Zea mays: one gene and its partner. The protein of the gene in region 2 interacts with the protein of the main gene of each other region in a pairwise test. Links are inferred from orthologs where the notes say so. Each region holds a gene or a part of one and is shown on either strand. Other genes may lie near its edges.

Region 1 (4,309 bases), on a different chromosome or scaffold from region 2:
ATAACGTTATAAGCAGAACCGATCGTCCGGTTTTGAATGTCTACAACCAGAGCGTGATCCCGGCCCTTAGGAACTTGGCCAATTCCTTGTACGTCATCGAAAAATATATTCATTTTTTGTGTGTCACTAGCCTTACTGGTCTTACATGTCATACACAAAAAAATCTATATGTCACTTAGTGATACACAAGAAATAAGTAAAAAATCTAATGGCATAGAAGGAATTTTCCTAGGAACTCCTCTTCTAACTAGTTAGTTATCTATACATCACTATAGTTCCTATATACTCACTTCGTATCAAAATAGTATTCGTTTTAGATCTTATTTTTTATGTCTATACTCAAATAGATGATGATGAATCTAGACACGTGTATGAAACACATACATCCAATCTTGTATGAATCCCTTAATTATATGAAACAAATTTTAATTTGAGACAAGGGGAGCATTATATAACCAGACATTGTTTAAATGGAACATCTATTAAAAACACAATGCAAACTCATAGATTAGATGAGTGTGAGTTGTGAGGTGTATAATGTGAGGTCAGACAATGCGAGATCAGTGACAGTGAGGGACCATCGATGACTAAATAGTGGATTGGTCTAAGATACGACTCATTTAATAGTGTCATGGTCCAATCCGACATAACTAAAAGTGTGCTTGTACCGTGCCTAGGCCGTTTTCTCGACTCACAGTGCCAACCCAATTCATTACCATTTTTTATTTTGAAATTATTAGTATATATATTTATAGTTTATATCTTTTATATAGCACAAGCTAATAAGTGGTGCACTAGTTAAGAGATAGGATGAAAATGGTCGAAAAAGATCAAAAAACATCTAAATTGATTTTGTTTTCATATTATTTTGACGGGACGAAAACATAAAATCAACTGTTGAAATACGGGATCGAGATTGTCGATTATTCAAAAACAATCGAAAACGATAAGCTTTAGGCAGAAAGACAAATATTTTGTAGTTTCCATAAATTCATAATAAAGTGGTAGAATGCCTAATTTTTAAGATATTAAAATACACAAATAAATCTTCTTTATCATTCATATCATTTATAGTAATTATAATTTTTGTTTTTCTGTTCTTCATTTATTTAAACACAACAAAAGTATGTAACTTATATAAATTATACTCTAAATGTATCTCATATTATATAAAACGGTATTATCATGACTCGTAAATGGAAAATACGAAAATAATTGAAAAACTAGCTAAATCGTTTCCGTATCATTTTTAATCGATTTCCGAACAGTTCAAAAATGTATAGGTAAAAACGGTATGCGGAATGGGACGGTACAAATTCAAATGAGCATATATTTTTTAGATTTTTCGTTCGTAAGTACACCAGGAACGACGCGGGAAGAAATTCCCACATCAGGAAAGCCATCATCGGCCCGGCCCATCCGTGAACGAAAGCCATGACAGATCGGTCTATTTGCTGGAAGCATGGCCGACACCTATGACCTATCCATGTAGAGCACCGGCCCAGAAACTCCTACTGCTCTTCTTAGCTCGCCGAAATGACGCACGGCCTCGCCGTCGGCTTCGGCTCCCTCCGCTGCGGTCCCTCCGTGTCGTCGTCCTCTGCCACCATTCATCGCACCCTGGTCGCTCCCCCTCGTCGAAGCTTACGGATATGCTCCTCGACCTTCCCTCCTCCACCCGCGCCCGCCATCGAGGGTCGTGACGTCAGCCTCTCGGTGACCACGCGGCGGGGCAGGGTGTTGCCGGTGCTTAAGGGATGCTCCCTCCTTGTCCCGCCCGGGCAGCTCTGGATGCTCCTCGGCCCCAACGGCTGCGGCAAGTCCACGCTGCTCAAGGTTCTTCCTCTGAACTAGGAGTAGGTCGAGAAGGCAACATCTCGTGTTTTTCACTCCCACTTCATTCGTGCAGGCCTGAGAATTGAAATTGGAACTGAATTTATGAGACTGGTGATTGCCTTAAGAGATTGGTTTAGCACATCTGTTATCTTCATTCAATAGTAAAACGTGGAATGCACCCTGTTTCCGCCAATTTTGAAACGTAGAAAATAGTTTTCTGCTGTGTAGTGGCTAATTCACTTGGTAGATATGAGGTAGACTGGCAGATACTGTCAATTATGTCTGACATTGTTTGGTTTTTTTTCGATTGGAAATGTAAGTAGGATGCGGTATGGATAGAATCAAGATCCAGCCCATCAACCTCGTGAGTCGCGAGTACAGTTTTTTGGGGAGAATGGGTAGTTGAACTTCATGAAAATGTTCAGACAAGTCGTTGTACCGTTTTGGGGACCCAAAATTCTCAGGAAAGGTTTCGATAACTTGTGAATGTGCATATCATTTTCTATAGAAAGTCCACATTAAAAGCCAATAAGAAAATCTAATAAAACCTTTGTTACAGATGTCACAAATGTCAATTCTGCATCTCTTTTGAGGTATGGTGCATCATCACAAAGCAATAAAGGGTTGAGTCCTGGAGTACAAATGGCAGTACACAGAGTTAATTTGCACCCATTGTTTTTGGACCAGAATATAGTTTCTGTTAATTATAAAAAAGATCTAGTGGCTGTTACATTCATGTGGAAGAAACAAACATGAATTGGTTTTATCTACTTATGCTTGTAAAGTTGTTAGCTACATGCATTGTGCTCATTTCTGATTACTAGGTAACAAAACTTTGAGAATTTATTTGTCCATTTCTTATCACTGTCACTGGGAATAAATGTCAACGCCGTGTTTTTTAGGTTTTAGCAGGTTTTCAGAATCCAACGGCCGGTACAGTGTATATAAACAGACCATGCAGCTATGTCTTCCAAAATCCTGATCACCAGGTGGTAAAACTTCTCTTTCTTTAATAGTTCTCTAACTGGTCTGTTGTCAGGTCTCACAATAGATTTTAAGTGGAATCTGTAGTATACTAGTATGCCAACACAATTAACTCACATAGCATCTATTGAGTTCAGTTTCAGTGTTACCTGTATCAGCTTATGTGTTAAACTCAGCATCTATTGGCTATTTTACTTTGTATTGGACAAGTAAATAATGTATTTGGTTAAATGATATAAATTGATGCTTGTGATTATACATTTAATCATGTGGCTCGGTATATGAGATATGTCATTAGGCATGGACAATTTGTCACAAAAACTTTTCCATGCATACCCTGCTAGTGCTCCAATTCATACAATATCCACTTAAATGCATTCGGAGCATAGTTTTAGGTGAGTCATGCAATCTGATTATAATATTCTTGTACCATGCTAGAGAAAAGGTGCCATCACTTGTGGTCTAGTTGTTCCTTAGTACCCTTATTTGTTGGGGACATAACATTTATAGGAGTCTTGTTGAATCAAATCTAACTTATTGTCTGCTAAACCATGAACTTTATGATCTTCATTTTTTTAGTTTTGACAAAACATTTATGTTGACAACTCAATACTCAAATGAACACATTGGAATCAAACAAGTTATAGCGTGTACGAAAGCTTCCACATGGCGGTCAAGCCAATAACTGCAACCCCAGACTGTTCATGTGCCCAAGTCTTTATACCATGTCTTTATATGGAAGAACGACTGTGATTTTCTTAGTTGTGTCCTTTGGATGCAGGTTGTGATGCCTACAGTGGGATCTGATGTAGCATTTGGTCTCGGTAAGCTCAAACTTCCGTTAGATGAGGTCAGGTTAAGGGTATCAAAATCTTTGGATGCCGTTGGGATGTTGAGCTACTCTCAGGTAGGCTTCTAAATTCCAGCTTTTGGATCATAATCTAAAGTCTTCACAATGTTAATAACCCTTCATTCAAACAGAGGCCAATCCAAACTCTGAGTGGTGGGCAGAAACAGAGAGTTGCAATTGCTGGTGCGTTAGCTGAAGCATCCAAAGTATTACTGCTGGACGAACTGACCACATTCTTAGATGAACATGACCAGGTTTGAATCTCCTCCATATTCTGATTTTTTTGATTTCATGAATTTCTTTCCCATTTGTTGGAGCTTATCATCGTGCCTTATGTTAGTTTTGTCTAACTTGCATCGTAACATTTTATGGCGAATAAAAACTTCTGTGTTCTTAAGTGATTTTACTGGTTGTGATATACGCTAGTTACAGTTCTGCACTCTAATCTCCATTTGCTGCAACTGCAGATAGGCGTGATAAATGCAGTGAGGGACTCTGTGGCTGCCGATGGGGAGGTCGCCGCATTATGGGTGACTCATCGGTTGGAAGAGCTGAAATATGCAGATGGTGCCATCTATATGGAAGATGGCCAGATAATCATTCAAGGCGACGTCTCTACCATATCAAAATTTATAAAGA
Region 2 (3,694 bases):
TCTAATGAGGACATCATCTGCTGACAAGTTCATCAGTTTCATTCATAACCTTGAGATCGACACGGAATTAACTAGGGCATGCACTGTGGAGGGTAATGCTGCAGGTATTTGGTCAGAGCCTACCTTCCCAAGCGATCCACCGCCGAACAATAGCTCAAGTGTTACTATGCCAGGTAGATGCACAGAAAATTCTGAGACTGAGGCATGCAACACTGCCAACACCAGAGCCAGTCAGGCTTCTACTCCCACGAGCATGGCTGTTTGCGAAGGGGATTTGCTGCAGCCTGAGAGCACTAGTAACGGTATCCTACTTAACATTGTGAAAAGAAAAGGGATGCCCTACGGGCTAGTGTAACTGAATTGGCCGAAAGCTCCTGCTCACTTGATAATGATGCTTTTGTAGCTTCGCATCAACCTCGAGCTGGTGATTAGATTCTTCTTGATTTTGGAAGGTCATTATATAGCCACAGCAGCAACGCTGTAGGACGAAATTGTACTTGATCTATTTGAAGAGCAACTATATGCGTGAATTCAGCAATGATACTTGGAATGTTCAATCATCTGTTGGCTACATGAACATGCTGCGGTTTATTAGTCTTGCACACACTTGTCACAACAGCAGAAGAAATAGCGGTAATACTCCCTCCCAATCCCAGAGCTGGCATAAATGCCTCAACTAATCCTCAAACGCCCTGAGGTTATTGTTTACGGCTGTGAAGCCTCCGTCCACCATGAGGTTGACCGCGCTGACGTACCTCGCCTCGTCGCTGGCCAGGTAGAGCACCGCCTGGGCGACGTCCTCGGGCATGGCGTCGACGCCCTTGAGGTTGGCCTCGCCGCCGACAAAGGCCAGGAAGTCCTTGAGCGCGTCATCTGCGCGCGCGCCCTGGGGCAGGTGCGGCATCGACAGCGCCGTGGGCACGGCATAGGGGGACACGCAGTTGACGCGCACCCCGTGGCGGCCGAGCTCCGCGGCGACGCTCTTGGTGAGCCCGACCACGGCGTGCTTGGACGCCGTGTAGACGTGCGGGCCCGTCCCGCCGATGGCGCTGGCCACGCTGGCCAGCGACACGATGGAGCCCCGCTTCCGCGGGATCATAGCGCGCGCCGCGTGCTTCATCCCCAGGAACACGCCGTGCACGTTGACGTCGAGCACCCTGCGCGCCTCCGCGAAGTCCACGTTGCGGATGTCCGTCACCTTGGTGCCCGTCACGCCGGCGTTGTTCACCATCACGTCCAGCGCGCCGAACCGCTCCGCCGCAGCGTCCACGGCGCGGCTCACGTCCTCCTCCGACGTCACGTCGCAGTGGACGAACATGGCGCCCTGCGCGTCACCTCCCAGGGCGTCGCGCAGCTGCTGCCCAGCCTCATCCTGGATGTCCGCGATGCAGACCTTGGCGCCGTGCTCCATGAAGAGGCGAACGATGGCCTCACCGATGCCGGTGGCGCCACCAGTGACGAGGGCCACCTTCCCTTCCAGCCTGTGTTTGGGGCAAGAAACGCAAGATCAAATCTGAAGGACAAAAACACAGGCACAGCTACTGGATGGAGATGGAGCAGCACCGTACTATGGTGTTGCAACTGGATCGACTGTATGCCGATGTATACTGCACGTTTGGAACAGTAGAATGGTTGAGGATACACTTGGCACACCATTTCCTATTTTCCTCCCATAAAGAAGAGAGGGGGAAATGACCACTTCGCTCGCTAAAAGATAAGCACAGAGCACCAGTGCTTGGCCTGGGTGGATCCTTCAATTCATCGCCCTTCGACGCGAAAAGGTGGAAATTTTGATCAATATCTTGGATAAGCCCGCCTTCTTTTTGGAGTAACAAGTAGGTTGAACTGCAACAGCAACCGAGCTGTGCAGCATAGATGCAAGCCATGGACGGGGGAGTGGAGCTAGGAGCAGGGAACCCACGCACGAGCCATGGATCGGGGGAAAATTGAAGAAAGAAGCAGGGCACGCACCGCTTACTCGAGGAGGAGAAGGACGGCGAGGAGCCCGCGGCGGCCATCGTCTTTAGATCGGCGCCTGTGCCTCCTCCGCGCTCCGGTGGTCGCCGAATCCAAGTGCGCGCTGTCGTTGCGGGAGCGAGCAAGTTGGGAAGGCGTTGTCAAAATCTGGGTGGAGGAGCTGGCGCACGTGGGCCAGTAAACGACAGCGCACCGGGCATTTGGCGTTTCGTGTGTTGAATAATTGGGTTAAGACCCATTGACTAATTAATAAAATAAACCACAAGGTACATTAGCGGTGAAAGTTACAATTAGTTAATTGGTTCTTGATGACCTTTTATCTTGATGACCCTCTTTTAGGGCATGTATAACCTAGACACTGCTGCACGGTACTCTATATACAAGACACAACTAAAACACAACCGTGGTCATGTCTAAAACATGTGTTTTACCATATTTATTGTACCAATCAGAGCATTCAATAAATTAAAGTGACCAATCAGCTAGTCTTCTGTCTCGAATATAGAGCTAAGACATTGTGTCTTCGTCAAGATACATGTCTTTAGTTTTTTTACATTCACCCCCCTAGACACATCTAAGGCACAACTTAAGACACTTATTGTACATGCCCTTATAACTAGTAACTCATGCTTTTGATGGTTGAGAGTTACTGTTTTGATGGTCTTTTCATGGTCAGTAATATGTCTCTTGATGGTCAAACCGTCATTTGATAGTCCTTTTATGGCATTAACCTATAAGCTAAAGGGGGTTCTGGTGCCTGTAAAAAGAGGCGCTACCTCTCATCCAATGACACGTAAAATCACCAGAGCTATCCACTGCTACGTTGCGTTGTGCTTTCTCGGCTCTGTGTTCTTGCGCGCACAAGATACAGAGTAAGCAGGTCTCTAAAGCCATCGTCGTTGTAAAAGATTCTGCTCGAGACAGCAGTCGATCAGATTTTCAGGGAGCGCACAACACAACTTCTTGATCGACATCGACTTGTTCGTGGGAGCGCGTTCATCTTCTTTCTTGTGGTTGTTCGCATGAAACCGTTTGTCTTCTTCCTGGTGGCTATTCACAGTACTGCACTGCGAACATCAAACTGCATCAAATTCCGATCGACTACATCAAACTTACACGCGAGATGTATCATGTGAACGGAGCCATCGTTGCTCTAAGCATTGGTCCTTCCACTTATTGTTGTGCATGTTATTCTACTATTTACTACTACTGTGAGTCAGCGGCAATCGGTGGATCTAGAATTTTGCTATAGGGTATATGGTCTTAACAAAAATATGTATAGTTCAGTAAAATACATCTCAAAATTAAATAAATAATAATAAATGCTGCGCTGCAGTTTGGTATTCAATGCAAAACTAGCGTGATGATTCTTACATTTAAAATTAGGTTTGCAACTTATATAATTTTTCTTCTCTTGCTTAAAGAAAAACTAAACCTTTATTTTTAACGGTCACTGCTGACCAACAACTGAAGACTTCCAACAGTTCATGAGTACTGTATGTGCTAAGAAAAGATAACATAAATTCAATAAACAAAGCTATTGTAGGCTAGTTTTAGAGTATGGCATACTCTGGATACATGTGGTGTGTTTGGTTTGTGGAGTCACTTTATGCTTCATGAGGTGATACATCATAAGTTCATTTAATCAATTTTGGTGGAATCAACTCACTCCTCGTATATATACTAATTATTAGCTTATCAGGAATGAGCTGGTGAT

Evidence for each region. The genes of interacting proteins can lie anywhere in the genome.
Region 1: the proteins of Zerumbone synthase (region 2) and ABC transporter I family member 10 interact in binary tests that used the Arabidopsis thaliana proteins (3 or more experiments, as listed by UniProt). The link is inferred for Zea mays from reciprocal best matches to the Arabidopsis thaliana genes ABA2 and ABCI10.

Annotation. Positions count from the first base shown.
Region 1 is NC_050103.1:179,026,785-179,031,093, reverse strand, and holds the start of ABC transporter I family member 10, read left to right. Parts: upstream 1-1,500; 5' UTR 1,501-1,536; coding exon 1,537-1,836; intron 1,837-2,738; coding exon 2,739-2,825; intron 2,826-3,601; coding exon 3,602-3,727; intron 3,728-3,801; coding exon 3,802-3,924; intron 3,925-4,137; coding exon 4,138-4,309.
Region 2 is NC_050100.1:3,427,739-3,431,432, forward strand, and holds Zerumbone synthase, read right to left. Parts: upstream 2,298-3,694; 5' UTR 2,019-2,297; coding exon 1,972-2,018; exon of another isoform or gene 1,569-1,971; intron 1,482-1,568; coding exon 677-1,481; 3' UTR 504-676; downstream 1-503. UniProt on the Arabidopsis thaliana protein: Involved in the biosynthesis of abscisic acid. Catalyzes the conversion of xanthoxin to abscisic aldehyde.